Callithrix jacchus: one gene and its partners. The protein of the gene in region 2 purifies or fractionates together with the protein of the main gene of each other region. This does not show direct contact. Links are inferred from orthologs where the notes say so. Each region holds a gene or a part of one and is shown on either strand. Other genes may lie near its edges.

Region 1 (4,293 bases), on a different chromosome or scaffold from region 2:
AGTTTCCCTTCAGGGCCTCTCCCTAGAAACGGAAATCCAGGGTCACAAGCAGCGGGCATTCCCGTTTTGCTGTTAGATTCTGCTCTCCCACCAGCAGCGTCTGAGAGGTGGCTGGCGTTCCCGAGGGTCCCTGGACTTGCGTTTCCAGCTGGCCGGTTCTCGCGCGCCTTGTGCGCACTTTGCGTCACTGGGGTTCCCAGCGGACTCGCCTGCAAGTGTGCTCGTGACTGCTGGGCGGACCCCTGGGTCCCTGGGGCTCTTTCCCCACGGGGAACTCTTTTCTGAGGTGCTTGACTGCGCTGATTTGGGCCTTTATCTGTCTGCATGTCAGCAGGGGCGCCCAGGAAGGACCCGTGGGTCGGGGTCCCTCTAGCTCAACCTGGCCTAGGCTCTTCACAGCTTCAGCTCCACAGGGGGCCGGGAGCTTGGGCACTTCCTCATTCCGCCCCCGAGGGTAACTACGGCTGGAAGACCCGCCCACACCGCAAACGAAATTTCATCGTTTTGTTTGTAGGATGCGGCCGCCATGGCTGCCGACCTATGAAACGCTCCGAGAAGGGGTGCTATGGCCGGGCGCGGTGACTGCATCTGCAATCCCAGCGCCTTGGGACGCCGAAGAGGGCGGATCCCTTGAGGCCAGACTGGGAGACACAGTGAGATCCTGTGTCTCAATTAAGACAAACAAAATCAGCCCGGATGTAGCGCGCGCTTGTAGTCCCAGCTACTCGGAGGCCGAGACGGGAAGACTGCGTGAGCCTGGCAGTTCCAGACCAGCCTGGGCCATACAGCGGGACTCCGTCTCAAAAGAAATAAGCACCCGTGTTTCTGGGTGGGCGCATCCCTCTCTGATGCCTCGCTCTCCAACTGTCCCTGGGCCTGGGGGCGTGAAGGCTAAGCTCTGGGGAGACAAAGGCGCGGGCTGACCCTGGGGGACCGGCCTAGGACCCATTCATTCATTCATTCGTTCTGTCACCTACCGGTCCTGCGCCGGCCTATGCCCCAAAGACCCCAAGTACCCTCACTCCACGGGGCGCAGACAACGACAGGCTGGCCAGCGCCTGGAAGCCGCGTGCCTGACCGCGTCTGCCCGAGCGAATCCCGCCTCCCGCCGGGGAGGCCGCAGGGCCGCGCCTGTCCCGCCGCGCCCAGCATCTCCCGGCCAGGAGCGCGCCGCCTCACCAGTGGCGCATGCGTGCCCGGGAGCCCGCCCTGAGTGTTGGCGCACATGGGGCCCGCGGGTCGGCGTGCGTGCGCGCTCCCGCCTCGTCCTCCCACGCGGTCCACCGCGCCTACCGCCCCACCCTGCGCTCCACCGAGCCGGGTTGCGTGCGTGCGCGCACGCGCGGTCCACGTGGGCGGGCACCGGACCGTTGCTCCGCCCCTTGTCAGCCCCGCCCCGCGCCTGCCCCGCCCCTGCCGCGCGCCGGCGTCGGCTGCGTCTCAGGCGTTTGAATTGCGCTTCCGCCATCTTTCCAGCCTCAGTCGGACGGGCGCGGAGACGCTTCTGGAAGGTAACGACGCGGCTGGCCGGGCAGGGCCGGGGTGGGGGGGACAGGGGCCGTGGCGGCGGGACAGGGGCCGCGGCCGGGGTCAGGGCCCGGGCTGGTGGCCGGCCCCGGGGCAGCGAGCGGCTGTGAGTAGGTGGGTGGCGCGGGCCGGGCCGGGCCGGGGGAAGAAACGGGCGTGGGGTCGGCGCCCGCCCCCGCGAATCCCGGTTCCATCCCGCGCTCCCATCCCGCTCCCGGTCCCAGTCTCGTCTCCATCCCGGCCCCCCCGTCCGTCGTTCCTTGGGTCCCGCTGCCCCGGATGCCGGCCCCGCCCGCCGCCTTCCCGCTCCCAGGCCCGGCCGCCATGGCGCCGCGGGCGGGAGGCCTTTGTGGGGCGGGCACGTGGGGCGCGGGGGGCGCGGGAGCGGGGCCGCCATGGGCTGCGGGGCCGCGCGAGCGCTCGTCTCCGTCCTCTGCCTCCGCAGGAACGCCGCGATGGCTGCGCAGGGAGAGCCCCAGGTCCAGTTTAAAGTAGGTAACCCTGCGGGGCGGGCGGCGGCCGGGCCGGCCCGCGTGCGCCTCGCGGTCCCTCCTCCCGGGCCCACGATGGCTGTTAGCCGGGCCCCGCGTCCGCGTTCTTGGCGTGGCGGACTCTGGGATCCGGAGAGGTGAAGTGTTCTGGGTTTACTTCCAAAATGTGTTCTCCAACAGCTTGTATTGGTTGGTGACGGTGGTACCGGAAAAACGACCTTCGTGAAACGTCATCTGACTGGTGAATTTGAGAAGAAGTATGTAGGTATGTGCGGGAGCACCTTGTTCGCGGACACGGGTGGGAAACGGGTCAATGCGCCCACTCACTGGCATCGCTTCCGTCGCAGCCACCTTGGGTGTTGAGGTTCATCCCCTGGTGTTCCACACTAACAGAGGACCTATTAAGTTCAATGTGTGGGACACGGCCGGCCAGGAGAAATTCGGCGGACTGAGAGATGGCTACTATATCCAAGGTAAGCATCCGTGACTTGCTGAACCGTTGCTGAGAGCTTTTGTGTACTGCATCCTTCAAGGTTATAGAAAATCAGGCCGGTTCCGGCAAACAGTGCTTAATACTGTTAGGGGAACTGTGTCATTTTTGGGTTAAAAAACGTGAGCTTCGGGGAGCTGACCACCATTTTGGTGGCAGAGGAGAACATTTTATGCAAGTTGTGTTATTTGCATGCTGTGTCATGCTAGGCATGGTTTAGAAGAAACTGTGACTTACACTGGGTACATGTCATAGTTTAAAACAATCACAGACAGGCTGTTAGAGCAGTTCAGTATATGAAAACAGGCTCAGGTATGAATTTAGACGTAGTGATCAATGATTGTTTGTACTCCATTAAAAAACACCAGGGAAGATAGGGATCTTAGCAAGTGTTATGCAAGACTAGGTGATTTCTTGTTACATTGTTTGTACTAAGTTGCGGAGAGTATTTTTCTCAAATAGATTGATTTTTAAAATTGCAAGGAAGACGTTCATTATACCAAAAAGAGGAGTAAAGGAAATACTCATCTCTCCTGGATCCTCACTTTGCTGATAACAAATTATTTGGAATCATTCCATGCCTTTTGTTTTCCTTTAGTATGTACAAATAAACACAAGAATTTCCCCCCAAAAATCTTTTAACCAAAAAGTTGTGGATTCTTGCTTTATCAACTATGCCATAGCTGGCCCTGCAGGTGAATATATAGACTTTATTTGGGTTTGTTATTATTTTTTGAAACAGGGTCTCTATGTGGCCCAGCCCAGAGTGCAGTGGTGTGATCTCAGTTCACTGCAGCTTCTGCCTCCTGAGCCAAGCTGTCCTCCCACTTCAGCCTCCTGAGTAGTTGGGACTACAGGCACAGGCCACTATACCTGACCAATTTTTGTATTTTATTTATTTTTATTTTTATTTTTTGTAGAGATGGGGATTCATCATGTTGCCCATGCTGATCTCGAACTCATGAGCTCAGGTGATCACCCACCTCGGCCTCTCAAAGTGCTGGGATTACAGGCATGAGCCACATCGCTTGGCCTGTCTGGATTTAAGACAGGAATATTTCCTGGTATAGTCAGCCATGCCATTGAAAGACCTTCTGAAGAAGGTGTTTGCAGGCCCCTTACCCTCAGAATATGGCAGCTCGGTTCTGCAGAATCTCACTTATCATTAATCTACCCGAGATACTTTTTGGGATGAGGGTACTGTTAATGATGAAGTGTATCAGGGAGGTTTGACGGGGTCAGCTCATCTTGCTTAGGAAGAATTGTGAATTAACATTTTTAGAAATTGCGAATTGACATTTTTAGAATTGGAAGTGAAGGGAGAAAGCTAGGAGACTCGGTGAGGTCTAAGACCAGATGAATCCTAGACTGGTTCTTGGCATTCTTCATGTGTGTAGTAAACTAAGTGTACTAACTACCACAAATGTTCCTTTCAGCCCAGTGTGCCATCATAATGTTCGATGTAACATCCAGAGTTACTTACAAGAACGTGCCTAACTGGCATAGAGATCTGGTGCGAGTGTGTGAGAACATCCCCATCGTGTTATGTGGCAACAAAGTGGACATTAAGGACAGGAAAGTGAAGGCAAAATCCATTGTCTTCCACCGAAAGAAGAATCTTCAGGTGTGTGAAAATTAAAACTTCCTGAGTTATTTCTCTTAGAGGAGATGATACGTAAGACCATGAAATTGACCAGTCTATATTATATATGGAAATAATTTTATTTTTATGCTATTTTTATTGTTTTTAAAGACTGATAGAGATGGGGTTTCACTGTTGTCAGG
Region 2 (3,517 bases):
TTTATGCAGATGCAAATATATTTTTTCACATTGACCTGGTTAGAGGTTGTGGCTTTATGCTTAGAACATACTGTTTTTTTGCTTTGTATTTTTTTGTTTTCATAGTTGATAAAGTCCAAGGCTTGCTAGTTCCTATGAAATTCCCAATCCATCACCTGGCCTTGAGCTGTGATAACCTCACACTCTCTGTGTGCATGATGTCCGGTGAATATGGTTCCATTATTGCTTTTTTTGATGTTCGCACATTCTCCAATGAGGTAAGCTACTTTTATACTGTGATATCAACGTGAGAACCCTAAGCAGATTTCCCTGTGTTGAATTATAACTTGGAAGCTTCATAGTATAACCCTTGAAGTCTTTCTCTAGATTAAAATATGGGATTTAAAAAAAAAACACCTTAATTATAGAATCATAGATTTTTGAGACAGAAGGGACTTTAAGAAATTCTTTCATAACACTATCTGCCCCAAGGTGTTACCAGGAGACTTACATGACTTGCCCAAATTTGTAATAGATAATGTCAAAAATTCCTACACTTTGGGTCTTTAGCCTCATAATGCAATGTTCTTCCATTCCAAGCAGTTTAAGAATGATAATAGTAATAGTGTGTCAGACTCTGTACTAAGTGCTTTATATGTCTTGTCCCTTGTTCATGCCTACCACTGCCTTATGTAGTAGGTACTATTATCTTCATTTTATAGGTAGAGAAAGAGGCTCAGAGTTTAAGTAACTGTCCAAGGTCCTAACACTGTTAAGCAGAGCCAAGATTTTAATCTCATGTCTGCTATTTATTGGTTATTTTGCATTTGTGCATTCCCCTGCTGAGAGTCTCCCTGAACATGTTAGGATAACTGATTGCTGGCTGAGTGTGGTGGCTGACGCCTGTAATCCCAGCACTTTGAGGGGCTGAGGCAGGAGAACCACTTGAACTCGGGTGGTAGAGGTTGCAGTGAGCCAGGATTGCGCCACTGCACTCCAGCCTGGGTGACAGATGGAGATCCTGTCTCAAAAAAATGAATAATTGATTGCCATTTTCTAAGTTGTGTTAAAACTGTCTATAGCAAATAGATATATAAAGCTAAGTCTTTTTTTATGGTTATGGAGAAAAACTAATTTGAGATAACTTGTATATTCGGTAATTTCCATAGAATATTAAATGTCTCTGCATTTACTAATTTGTTAACTTATTCCACTTTTGCATATTTGTTTTAAAAGGCTAAACAGCAGAAACGCCCATTTGCCTATCATAAGCTTTTGAAAGATGCAGGAGGCATGGTGATTGATATGAAGTGGAATCCCACTGTCCCCTCCATGGTGGCAGTTTGTCTGGCTGATGGTAGTATTGCTGTCCTGCAAGTCACAGAAACAGTGAAAGTGTGTGCAACACTTCCTTCTACAGTAGCAGTAACCTCTGGTGAGTAACAAAGGCTCTCACACTGTAACATACAATAATGGCAGTCTACTTAAGAATTGATTTCTAGAAGTAAAAGTGGATAGCTTTTCGTCTTGTGTGTGTGTGTGTGTGTGTGTGTGTGTGTGTGTGTGGTTTTGTTTTTTGTTTTTTTAAACATGACAGGAGGTTAAGAGTGGAGGGTTTTTTGTGGAACTTTGAAAAAATAACCATTAAAAAAAAGAAAACAAAAAAAAAGAGTGGAGGTTTTTTTGGTTTTGGAGACAGTCTCACTCTGTCACCCAGGCTGGAGTGCAGTGGCATGATCTTGGCTCACTGCAGCCTTTACCTCCTGGGTCCAAGCAATTCTTGTGTCTTGGCTACCAAAAAGCTGGGATTATAGGCCTGTGCCACCATACCCAGCTAATTTTTTGTATTTTTTTGTAGAAACAGGGTTTCACCATGTTGGCCAGGCTGGTCTCAAACTCCTGACCTCAAATGATTTGCCCTCCTCCGCCTCCCATTACAGGTGTGAGTTGCTGCACCTGGCTAAGAGTATTCTTTATTCCCATACTTACTGTCCTTGAAGCCAAACAGCATACATAATTTAACCTGAATATACTTGGGTTTTGGAGAAATCTTTTGGTATAGCTGGTTTGAAACTGTTTTTGAGAATAATTGCTTCTGGATCTATAATGGTGATACTCCAAAAGTCACTTGTACCTTCATGGGGAGAGGCATTTGGAATATCAAATAGGAGCAGGAGAATGATTTCTTTCTTTCTTTTTTTTTAGACAGAGTCTGACTCTGTCACCCAGGCTGGAGTGCAGTGGCATGATCTTGGCTCACTGCAGCCTCCACCTCGCAGATCCAAGTGATTCTCGTGATTCTCCTGCCTCAGCCTCCAGTTTAACTGGGATTACAGGTGCATACCACCTTGCCCAGCTAATTTTTGTATTTTTTTAGTAAAGACATGGTTTCTCCATGTTGGCCAGGCTGGTCTTGAACTTCTGACCTCAGGTGATCATCTGCCTTGACTTCCCAAAGTGTTGGGATTACAGGCGTGATCAACCACGCCCAGCCAATGATTTCTTGATGTTTGGAAACCTTCTGTGTTCTCCTTGTCTTATCTAAAGACTACAGAGTTTTCTGTATTTTGCAGCTTTCTGGGCAGTAATTTATTGAAAAAGCATTTTTAGCTTTCAATTCAATAGCCCAGTGATAAATCAGTTGGCTTATATCCTTAAAATAATTTTACTTTTTTCCATTTTGTCGGGTGGGGATGATCCTACAATCTTCCATGGACTGACAGAGGAATGAGAAGTGATAATTAGCTGTGTGTGATAGATCTCATTGGTTTGCTCCATTTTCTTGTTTTTATTTGGTAACATTGTCTTTGCTCAGTGTGCTGGAGCCCCAAAGGAAAGCAGCTGGCAGTGGGAAAACAGAATGGAACTGTGGTCCAGTATCTTCCTGTAAGTTCATATCTTGAACTTTAGAATTTTTCTTAAGTCACCCACTTTTTTGGGGGTGGTTTCGGAGTATTGTTCTTGTTTTTCCTATTAAAAAGTAATGCTCATTGTAACAAATCCATCAGTGAATGAAGAGTGGAACCTCTTCCCTTCTCTCCCATAGTCCTCCCTCCAGAGGCACCCACTATGTTGTATAGACTAGGTGGCCTTCCAGGCTTTTCTGGATGTTATACAAACAATCTGTGTGTAGCTGCATTTTTTGTTTTGTTTTTTATGTAAAACATGATCATACTCTGTACTGTTCCCAACTTAATATTTTCAGTCCATTCCATAAAAACATAGCTTAAAGGCAAAGAGTTAGTGAAAAAGCTATGACAACCGTGCAGAATCACTCTGGGTTAAAGCACAGTATTTGTCTTTTAATTGAATCCATCTTAAAGAATTCGTTTCTCTAACTGTGGGCATCAAAGAAAATGGATACTCGTGTTGTTGCATGTGCCCTCTATCATCCTCCCTGTGATGTTCTTGAGATAATATTTGCAAATATCTTTCGATATCAATTGAGTTGCAAGGAACCCACATATGTCTATTGAGCCTGGACATGAAGGAGGGAGTCACAGGTGGCGCCAAGGCCTTTGTTGTGCCTTCTTCCCCG
Region 3 (3,517 bases), on a different chromosome or scaffold from region 2:
CGCGGTGGCTCAAGCCTGTAATCCCAGCACTTTGGGAGGCCAAGTCGGGTGGATCACAAGTTCAACAGATCGAGACCATCCTGGTCAACATGGTGAGACACCCGTCTCTACTAAAAATACAAAAAAATTAGCTGGGCATGGTGGCGTGTGCCTGTAATCCCAGCTACTCAGGAGGCTGAGGCAGGAGAATTGCCTGAACCCAGGAGGCGGAGGTTGCAGTGAGCCGAGATCGCGCCATTGCACTCCAGCCTGGGTAACGAGCAAAATTCCGTCTCAAAAAAAATAATAATAATAAAATAAAATAAAGGAGGAGAAAATGAAAAGTGGTTGGTCCTTACTGCTGCTTTTATCCATTAAACAATTTCTTTGAAGGTTGTTTTATTTGCATTTGATAAAGGAAGTGCGATTAACATTTCATGTCTTATTTTAGATACTGAAACAAGAGTGGCCAAAACATTGGCCAACTTTTATTAGCGATATCGTTGGAGCAAGTAGGACCAGCGAAAGTCTCTGTCAAAATAATATGGTGATTCTTAAACTCTTGAGCGAAGAAGTATTTGATTTTTCTAGTGGACAGATAACCCAAGTCAAATCTAAGCATTTAAAAGACAGGCAAGTAATAATTATGTTTTAGAATTTTAAAGTAATTTCTCAAACAATTTCAAGCAATTTGAATGTATATTGTAGGTATTTTAAGGAACCATGATCAGTAATACGTTCAATTGTTTATACTGGTTTTCAACTACAAATTAAGAAATAGTCCTAGATTGGGTCTATAACTACCTCTGGAGGTTGAAAAGTGGATTGTTCTGAGATACACTTCAGGATTTGATTTGTATGATAACTAATTAATAGGTTCTAAGCAAATGATTCGTGTCCAAACATTCAAGTTAGTTATTTTATGAGACAAGTCTCACTCTGTTACCTGGGCTGGAGTTCAGTGGCTCAATGTTTAAATAGAAGATAATTTTGCTGAGAGAGAGCAGATAAATATAGTCACATCTTTAATTACCAGATGGTTGAAATTTTCATCTTTTTTTTTTTTTTCCTTTGAGAGATGGGGTCTTGCTAGGTTGCCCAGGCTGGTCTTGATCTCCTGGGCTCAAGCAATTCTCCTGCCATGGTCTTCTAAAATTCTGGGATTACAGGCATGAGCTACTGTACTGGGTCTTAATCATTTTTATTAGTATTGTACATAACTGTTAATTTATTTCTGTGTCTTCTAAAACTGATATGTATATATATTTTTTTAGCATGTGCAATGAATTCTCACAGATATTTCAACTGTGTCAGTTTGTAATGGTAAGTGTTTTTAATTTCATTTTTAAAAATAACAATAATATGTTAGCAATTATTTACAAGTATGTTTTATTGTAGGAAAATTCTCAAAATGCTCCACTTGTACATGCAACCTTGGAAACGTTGCTCAGATTCCTGAACTGGATTCCACTGGGATATATTTTTGAGACCAAATTAATCAGCACATTAATTTATAAGGTACAGTGAATACAGTTAATTTGTCACTGGATAGCCACATATATTCTTTTCACATATAAAGCTCTCATATCTGCATTCAAAACCATTATTCAACCTTGGTTCTAACATGAGGAAACTGCTCAGAAGAAATGTTTCATATTTACACCTAGTAAATTCTTTGAAGTGAGTCTCAAATCTGATTCTGCCACTTGTACCATGTAATTTTATGAATTCATTTATAACAAATAATGGATTTGATTATATTGCCATATTTTTTTTTTTTTTGAGACGGAATCTCATTGTATCACCTAGGCTGGAGTACAGTGGCGCAATCTTGGCTCACTGAAACCTCTACTCACTAGTTTCCAGCAATTCTCCTGCCTCAGCCTCCCAAGTAGCTGGGATTAGAGGTGACCGCCTGTAATTCTTTGTATTTTTAGTAGAGATGGGGTTTCATCATGTAGGCAAGGCTGGTCTCAAACTCCAGACCACAGGTGATCTGCCTGCCTCAACCTCCCAAAGTGCTGGCATTACAGGCGTGAACCACTGCGTCCAGCCCTGTGTTGCCATCTATTAGTTGAATGTATAAGTTACAGTGAGGTAAGTCAAGTACTATTTGTGAAAAATGAAAAGTTAATCTTTTAACTGAGATTTAAAAATTGATACCATCTTATGTGTTCTTTAAGTTATACAATGGTTTAGCCTGCGAAACATGATGAAACCCCATATCTACAAAAAATATAAAACTTGCCGGACACAGTGGCTCATGCCTATAATTTGAGCACTTTGGGAGGCCTAGGCAGGTAGATCACAAAGTCGGAGATCGAAATCATCCTAGCTAACATGGTGAAACCTCGTTTCTACTAAAATATAAAAAATTAGCCCAGTGTGGTGGCATGCACCTATAGTCCCAGCTACTTGAGAGACTGAAGCAGAAGAATTGTTCAAACCTGGGAGGTCGAGGTTGCAGTGAGCCAGACTCACATCACTGTACTCTAGCCTGGGCAACAGAGCAAGACTCCATCTCACCAAAAAAAGGAAAAAAAAAAAACCACTTAGGTGTGGTGGTGCATGCCTGTAAGTCCCAGCTTCTTGGGAGGCTGTGGCAGGAAAATCTCAAACCCAGGAGGCAGACTGCAGTGAGACAAGATTTTGTCACTGCGCTCCAGCCTGGGTAACAGCAACACCCTGTCTCAGAAAAAAAAAATTCTACAGTGGTTCATCCGGAGATAATCACTGTTAGCAATTAGTTGTATTACATGTTCAGATGTTTTCTAAGACTGATGTAATGAATAAATTAATTGGTACATTGTAACTTAACCCCTTCAACTTTGTAGTTTAGAGTTTGGTAACATGATTTATGGTATTTGAATGATCAGTTTATTGCTCAATTAAGTTATGTAAAAATATTGGTATTGTTGTGCTCGCTTCGGCAGCACACAAACTAAAATTGGAACGATACAGAGAAGATTAGCATGGCCCCTGGGCAAGGATGGCACACATTCGTGAAGTGTTCCATATTTTTTTTATTTAAAAAAATAAATAAAAATACTGGTATTGTCACCAGTCTTACAGAGTACGTTCTTAGACATAAAAGATTATGCAGTTGTCCAAATAGTCACTTTCTTTAAATATTTTAATGTTTCAAGGTGAGATTTAGGTAAGAAAAAAATATTTTAATGTATAATTACCAGGTTATTAGCTATGTTTATTTTTAAGGTTTTAATGCCCACTAAATTCCCAAACCCGGATAATTGTTTATCTTCTCAACAATAGAATATAAAAGCCAGTTTTCCCACTTTCTTATTACTCTTAGATATAATAACCATTTTCCAAAATCCTAAGCAATCACAAGTTTTAGGTTCTGTGTAATTACACAGAAAGTATGACATTCCCAAAAGTCATGTCACAGATTCTAGGAAAGTTGTTAAGGAGTCTTGTTATTTTAGATGTCTAAGAACACATCAAAAGAAAGCAGAATTTGCTCTTAAAGCATTTAATGTGTATTGGGTAGGTAATCAAATTTCCTCTCAGTATATCT
Region 4 (2,684 bases), on a different chromosome or scaffold from region 2:
GCTGAAGCCCAGTGTCCCAGTGGCAGGGGCTCCTGCTGTGGTTGCAGGGGTACAGAGGGAGAGGCCGGTGGTGGCGGACGAGGTTGGAGCGGTTGCTATTGAGGCAAAGAGGGTGGGCCCAGCACTGGTGGTGGTGGCCATTGGTGTGGGCGCAGCTGGCTGAGTGGCGCCTGCTGTGGTGGCTGCTGGCGTGGCCGGAGTGAAGGACAACCCGGCAGGTGCCGTGGGCTGGGCTGAATTCCCCGCTGAGCCAATGTTGAAACCAGAGGTTTGGGCCGTGCTTCCACCAGTGAACAAGAACCCTCCCGATGTGGTGGCTGGAGCCACTGAGGTGGTGGGGGGGCCAAACACAAAGCCAGTGGGTGCTGTGCCCTGGCTGGAGGTGGCGGTGCTCGGCATGGCATTAGTGAGGCTGCTGCTGCCCAGCCCAAAGCCGCTGGGGTTTGCCATGGCTGGGGTGGCAGCTGCATTGCTCAGGTTTAGCTTTGAAGCACCGGTCCCCAAAGAAAACCCAGTTCCCCCGGAAGCAGGAGTTGCTGTTCCAAAACTAAAGCCCGGCGTCTGTGTGGCCGGAGTCTGCGTGGCAAGTGAGAAAAGGCTGGTGGAAGGGGTACTTGCGGCTGCTTGGGAGGGAGCCCCAAAATTAAACCCTCCGGTGCCAGAGGTGGAGAAAGAAAACCCTGTGGCAGGTGTGGTGGTTGCCGTCTTCGCAGTGCCAAACGTGAACCCGCCTGTAGGGGCCCCAGTGCCTCCAAAATTAAACCCGCTCATGGCTCCAGACTCTGATGGCGGCAGCTACTCCAGCTCCGAAAGCAAATCCGTCGGTGTCTGCAACCTTGGGAAGATTTGTAAAGCAGAGGAAGCGACATTGTCAGATGGCAGTTTTGGAAAGGCAAACTCAGTGGCACGCAACCCCTCTTCTTCCTGTGTAACCTAAACCAGGCCCTGCTAAACCGAGGAGGATCCGAAAGCACCAGCGCACGCGCCAGGGGTCAGGTATGAGGAGCCGGGGTGCTAGGGATGTGCATGGCCACGTTTAGCACAGTGGAAGCTCCCACTCTGTGGAGGCGGAGGCGGAAGAGCAGAACCCTGGACCCACCTCGGTCCGAGGAGGGGATGAAATGTGAGGCACTGCCACCAGTGGGACTAGGACACAGAGGAACAGCTGTAGGACCTGCTCTCAGCATGGGACCCAGTGACATTCCCCCACTGACGCTAGCAGGGCGTGAGCAGATCAGCTCATGCCTCCCTAAGGGCCTCTCCGGACCTCACAGAGACACATGGGGCTGGGAACTCAGGCCAGATGGCAGAGCCTGGGCTGCTGAAGGCCCCCACACCTGCACTCTCTAGCAGGCAAGGACGCTGGAACGCCCTCTCTTAACTTGGGGTGGGGGGGTGTCTGAAACCCATGTGCTCAATCAGAACACAGATGCCCTTGGCTGCAGTGATTGGCTCAAGGATAAACTGAGACCTGAGCCAGCCAATCAGAGCCTCCCCTGGGGGAGGCAGCTGCCTCCTTCACCTGTAGGTGTGGTACAGAGGATTGCACCTGAGCCTCCCCTGGATATGTTCTCAACCATCTATCTGCAGACACTGGGACATCACAGGAGACCATGAGCCCCACCAGAGATGGGTCGGGGAGGGATAAAGAGCACCCCAGAAGCCCCATGGGCCAGAGCATCTCCATGTTCAAACTGACTGGATTTTGGTAATGTCAAACTGAAAAAGCTCCAGTGGCGCCATCCATCAGCGGGAAGCTCAAAGGTCACCTGGAGAGGAAGAGGTGAGGGAGTGCTGGACAGCGGTGATTTTCTTTTTTTCTTTTGGGAAAAGGTTTTGCTCTGTCATACCAGCTGTAATGCACTGACACAATCACAGCTCACTGCAGCCTTGACCTCCTAGGCCCAAGTGATTCTCCCACCTCAGCCTCCCAGAGTAGCTGGGATTACAGGTGCAAGCCACCATGCTCAGCTAATCTTTTTTTATTTTGTAGAAACCGGATCTCTGCTGCCCTGGTCTTGAACTCCTGGGCTCAAGCAATCCTTCCTCCTTGGCCTCCCAAAGTGCTAGGACTATAGGTGTGAGCCCTGAAGATGATCAGAAGTGTCCCTAGAAGACAGAGCCCGGGTGGATGTGACTGACTCGGGCAGACAGGAAAGCTTGGTGCCGAAAGCAGACCGGAGTGGTGCGCTTTCGAATCTGAAGATGGCGAAGGCCAGGAACCAGGGAAGGCATAAGCAGCTCGAGAAGCTGGGAATGGAGAGAGCGAGACCCTGTCTCAAAAAAAAGAATGAACAAAGTCACGACTGAGAAGCCAAGTGCCTGGCCCAGAGAAACACCCACGAGGTCTGTTTCCTCTTCCCTCTCTCCAGGCCAGTTTTCAAGTTTCTTGGTGTCTGCCCTCAGGAAATCCCCTTCTAGCTTGAATCAGAGGAAACCTGCCTCACTACCCCCACCCATTCCACTGTACCATTCTGCCTTCCTCAAGGCCCTCATTTTTGTTTCATCTGCCCCTCCTCCTCCACACAGCCAAGCAAGTCTGGGGAGACGACCGGGGGGCCAGCCGCATGGGGCTCTGCCGTGTCCAAGTCAGTGGATCTCAGTGGGTGTCCATGAGCACCGCCTGGCAGCGTTTCAAACACAAGAGTCTCTGCAGGGCTGGGATGTTGGCCCTGGCATTTTCA
Region 5 (3,460 bases), on a different chromosome or scaffold from region 2:
GGTAAGTGATTTATGTTTGTGGCTCAGGCTTATAAACTGGCTCTTAAGTCCTTTGCCAGAATCCATGATGGGTTTATGTTTTTGTGCTGCCTTGATCTTTTAAAAAAATAACTTGAAATGGCAATCAGAAATGCTTTGACAGATGGGGGCATTGGAAGAGTAAGGGTGTAGCTTCCCAAAGTGACCTTTTCAAGGTGGAAAACATGCATTCTTACACTTTTACAAAAATAACACCTTATTTTTATATTCTGAAAGTTCTAGATCAGTGTGGTTTCTGCTTTTCTATAATTCAATAAATCACTCCACGGTAGACTTCAATTTACTTATATTTTGCAGAAATACAGTGCATCCAGTGTCTCCTCCTCTGCTTTGTACTCGAGAAGATGTTGAAGTGGCAGAGTCTCCCCTCCGTATTCTGGCTGAAACCCCAGATTCCTTTGAAAAGCATATTAGAAGCATTTTGCAACGTAATGTTGCCAATCCAGCATTTTTAAAGTATGCAACCTTTGGCATAGCAGTTTTATGAATGGTTTCTCTTCTGTCTTCATAATTACTGTGCATCCTTTCTGTCCTCATCTGTTTCATCTACTTTTTACTATGATGGATTTGGAAGAAACTGGATATATATTTAATCAGTTAATGAATGGGGTAGGGGAAAGTGGCACCTGAGAATGATAAATAGGAAGTGTTTAAAAATAAGTAATGCCAGGCGTAGTGGCTCATACCTGTAATCCCAGCACTTTGGGAGACCAAGGTGGCCAATCACCTGAGGTCAAAAGTTCAAGACCAGGCTGGCCAACATGGTGAAACCCCATCTCTACTAAAAATACAAAAATTAGCCAGGCATGGCGGTGGGCACCTGTAATCCCAGCTACTGGGAAGGCTGAGGCAGGAAAATCACTTGAACCTGGGAGGCAGAGGTTGCAGTGAGCTGAGATCGTACCACTGCATTCTAGTCTGGGCAACAGAATGAGACTCCATCTCAAAGAAAGAAAAAATATGAAAAGTTTGAAAAGCACCTGTGACTTGAGTCCGTTTTCAGTTGTTTTACTCAGCTAAGGAAAATAAAGGTAGAAACTTTGTTTTTAAGATCTTCTGAAAAGGACATAGCCCCTCCTCCTGAAGAATGTCTTCAGCTCATCAGCAGAGCCACCCAGGTGTTCAGAGAACAGTACATTCTTAAACAGGACTTGGCAAAGGAGGAGATTCAGCGGAGGTATGATGTCCTTTGTTCAGAAACCACTAATCCCTCACTGGTAGCCGATGCTATGTCATAGCCTAGACCTGGCTTCTGATTAAACTCTATTTCTTTTTGTTCTTGAAGGGTCAAATTATTATGTGAACAAAAAAAGAAACAACTAGAAGATCTCAATTACTGTCGAGAGGAGAGGTAAGTGTCAAAAATAAGGAGATGAAAACAGTAAGTAAGACTGGAACCATATTCTCACCCTAAGGTTCTGAGCCACATTAGTTGGTTTCAACATCAAGGTGTGGACCCCAGGAGTCTCTTGTTTCTTATGTCATTAGGAAAAGTCTGCGGGAAATGGCTGAGCGTTTAGCTGACAAATATGAGGAAGCCAAGGAAAAACAAGAGGATATCATGAACAGGTCAGTGGGCTGTGTAACATTTAGTTACCTACTCAGTACTAACAGTGATGTTTAAGAAAATGGGCATTGGCAGGTGTTTACATACCTGCAAGATTGAATCGATCCCCCTACCTTTCCTCTGAATTACATGTTGGGGAAAACATGACACTCTCCCCTAGCCCTTCCTATGGGGCCTACTTCCCAGACACCAGATTCATGAATTATGAGGTTTGTGATTATATTTCTCCTAATTAGCAGAGACCTTAAGTTGAGATGTGTCCTTGCCTTTTCTGAAGGATGAAGAAAGTACTTCACAGTTTTCACTCTCAGCTCCCAGTTCTCTCTGATAGTGAGCGAGACATGAAGAAAGAATTACAGCTAATACCTGATCAACTTCGACATTTGGGCAACACCATAAAAGAGGTAGGAATAGATGCAAAGTAGCTAAATTTGGTGATTTTTTTTTAAAGCGCTTATTCTACAGAAAATCTTACAAAAATGTAAAAAGAGCAGATTCAAAAAGACAGTGTGAAAATGTGTGGCAAACCATTGCCAGAATATCTATTTTTGATACTTAAGGTTACTATGAAAAAAGACTATCAACAGCGAAAGATGGAGAAGGTGTTGAGTCTTCAAAAACCCACCATTACTCTCAGTGCCTACCAGCGAAAGTGCATTCAGTCCGTCCTGAAGGAAGAGTAAGTAAATACTTCCAATCAGCTATCACTGAGATCGTTTTTCCTTTACAGTATACCACAATCAACCTCTGTCTTAATAGAAACCTGAATCTTGGTATTTGCATGTCATGTAATTACTGGGACGAGAGCCACATGATACATAGGGACTTAAGAAATAACTATCGTGGGAGAACTGAAAATTATGACCTTCCAATAACATGATTTTGTTGTGTGGCCAAAGGCATTTTACAATTATGTTAAAAAATATTTCCAGTACTAGCATCACTGCCATCTTAAATGAATAGTGAACACTATTGCTATCCATCTGAACCCTTCAGCTGTTAATTTTGGCAAAGCAGTTCTTAGATATTTCAACATTACCCGTTTCGATTCTTAAGAATCCATACAAATGGTTTATTCTATTTCCAAAAGTAAGTGACTACGATTTTACAGGGGTGAACACATAAGGGAAATGGTGAAGCAAATCAATGATATCCGCAATCATGTTAACTTCTGACGCCACCAGGAGTCAAGTAACACCTGAAGTGAACACCAGTGAAGACTTAAACCCATATTGTAAAACAGGGACTATTATCTCATTTATAAAAAGGCATTTTGGATGACCTTTGGTGTGGTTTTTCATCTTTTTAAATATTTTGTTTTATAATTAGCAATAAATGCTTTTATTTAAAATTGGAGGAATGTGTTTTATAACTCGAGCCTAAAGTGATATTCAGCAAGGACTCAGGATTATTTCACTCTACACTGCCAGAACCTCTCTGAGCCCTGGTGAGTGAGTTTTCTCCAGATCTGAGCAAGAATAAGAGCTGTGTTCTCAAGTAGCACCAGAAATAAGACTCTGAAGAGGGTTAGAACCCTAGGATTCAAAGGAAAAGACCACACAGTGTACTCGGCAGCAGCTTTTTTAATTTGAACACTTTCTTAAGGACAGGCCTTCAGTACAGTTAACAAATGGTTACACCTGAAGTCTGCTGAGAGCAAAGCTCAAGATCTACAACTGCAAAGGCCACTGCTGGCTCACTTCCTCACAGGCAGTATTACCTTTCAGAGCTGAGTGAGGCTGTGCTCTATGTCACAATACTTGTTGAGTGGGCATGAGGTGCAAGTTTAGCACCTTAAAGGGAGAAAAAAAACAGATTAGGATGCAGAATGTGACTTTGTTCTCAGTTCTCTAA

Evidence for each region.
Region 1: the proteins of NUP214 (region 2) and RAN purify together in Homo sapiens (affinity purification with mass spectrometry; 3 studies listed by BioGRID and IntAct, counting the BioPlex papers as one, with this or other methods). This does not show direct contact. The link is inferred for Callithrix jacchus from reciprocal best matches to the Homo sapiens genes NUP214 and RAN.
Region 3: the proteins of NUP214 (region 2) and XPO1 purify together in Homo sapiens (affinity purification with western blotting; 4 studies listed by BioGRID and IntAct, with this or other methods). This does not show direct contact. The link is inferred for Callithrix jacchus from reciprocal best matches to the Homo sapiens genes NUP214 and XPO1.
Region 4: the proteins of NUP214 (region 2) and NUP62 purify together in Homo sapiens (affinity purification with mass spectrometry; 5 studies listed by BioGRID and IntAct, with this or other methods). This does not show direct contact. The link is inferred for Callithrix jacchus from reciprocal best matches to the Homo sapiens genes NUP214 and NUP62.
Region 5: the proteins of NUP214 (region 2) and NUP88 purify together in Homo sapiens (affinity purification with mass spectrometry; 6 studies listed by BioGRID and IntAct, counting the BioPlex papers as one, with this or other methods). This does not show direct contact. The link is inferred for Callithrix jacchus from reciprocal best matches to the Homo sapiens genes NUP214 and NUP88.

Annotation. Positions count from the first base shown.
Region 1 is NC_133510.1:134,087,325-134,091,617, forward strand, and holds the start of RAN (GTP-binding nuclear protein Ran), read left to right. Parts: upstream 1-1,480; 5' UTR 1,481-1,511; intron 1,512-1,972; 5' UTR 1,973-1,982; coding exon 1,983-2,018; intron 2,019-2,198; coding exon 2,199-2,283; intron 2,284-2,365; coding exon 2,366-2,491; intron 2,492-3,944; coding exon 3,945-4,132; intron 4,133-4,293. UniProt on the Homo sapiens protein: GTPase involved in nucleocytoplasmic transport, participating both to the import and the export from the nucleus of proteins and RNAs. Switches between a cytoplasmic GDP- and a nuclear GTP-bound state by nucleotide exchange and GTP hydrolysis.
Region 2 is NC_133502.1:179,780,754-179,784,270, forward strand, and holds part of NUP214 (nuclear pore complex protein Nup214), read left to right. Parts: intron 1-105; coding exon 106-257; intron 258-1,215; coding exon 1,216-1,414; intron 1,415-2,794; coding exon 2,795-2,865; intron 2,866-3,517. UniProt on the Homo sapiens protein: Part of the nuclear pore complex. Has a critical role in nucleocytoplasmic transport.
Region 3 is NC_133515.1:52,624,305-52,627,821, forward strand, and holds part of XPO1 (exportin-1), read left to right. Parts: intron 1-430; coding exon 431-612; intron 613-1,253; coding exon 1,254-1,302; intron 1,303-1,377; coding exon 1,378-1,497; intron 1,498-2,896; exon of another isoform or gene 2,897-3,001; intron 3,002-3,517. UniProt on the Homo sapiens protein: Mediates the nuclear export of cellular proteins (cargos) bearing a leucine-rich nuclear export signal (NES) and of RNAs.
Region 4 is NC_133523.1:43,685,951-43,688,634, forward strand, and holds part of NUP62 (nuclear pore glycoprotein p62), read right to left. Parts: intron 836-2,684; 5' UTR 772-835; coding exon 1-771. UniProt on the Homo sapiens protein: Essential component of the nuclear pore complex. The N-terminal is probably involved in nucleocytoplasmic transport.
Region 5 is NC_133506.1:106,916,808-106,920,267, reverse strand, and holds the end of NUP88 (nuclear pore complex protein Nup88), read left to right. Parts: intron 1-336; coding exon 337-495; intron 496-1,090; coding exon 1,091-1,216; intron 1,217-1,324; coding exon 1,325-1,390; intron 1,391-1,527; coding exon 1,528-1,608; intron 1,609-1,883; coding exon 1,884-2,010; intron 2,011-2,166; coding exon 2,167-2,285; intron 2,286-2,717; coding exon 2,718-2,781; 3' UTR 2,782-2,957; downstream 2,958-3,460. UniProt on the Homo sapiens protein: Component of nuclear pore complex.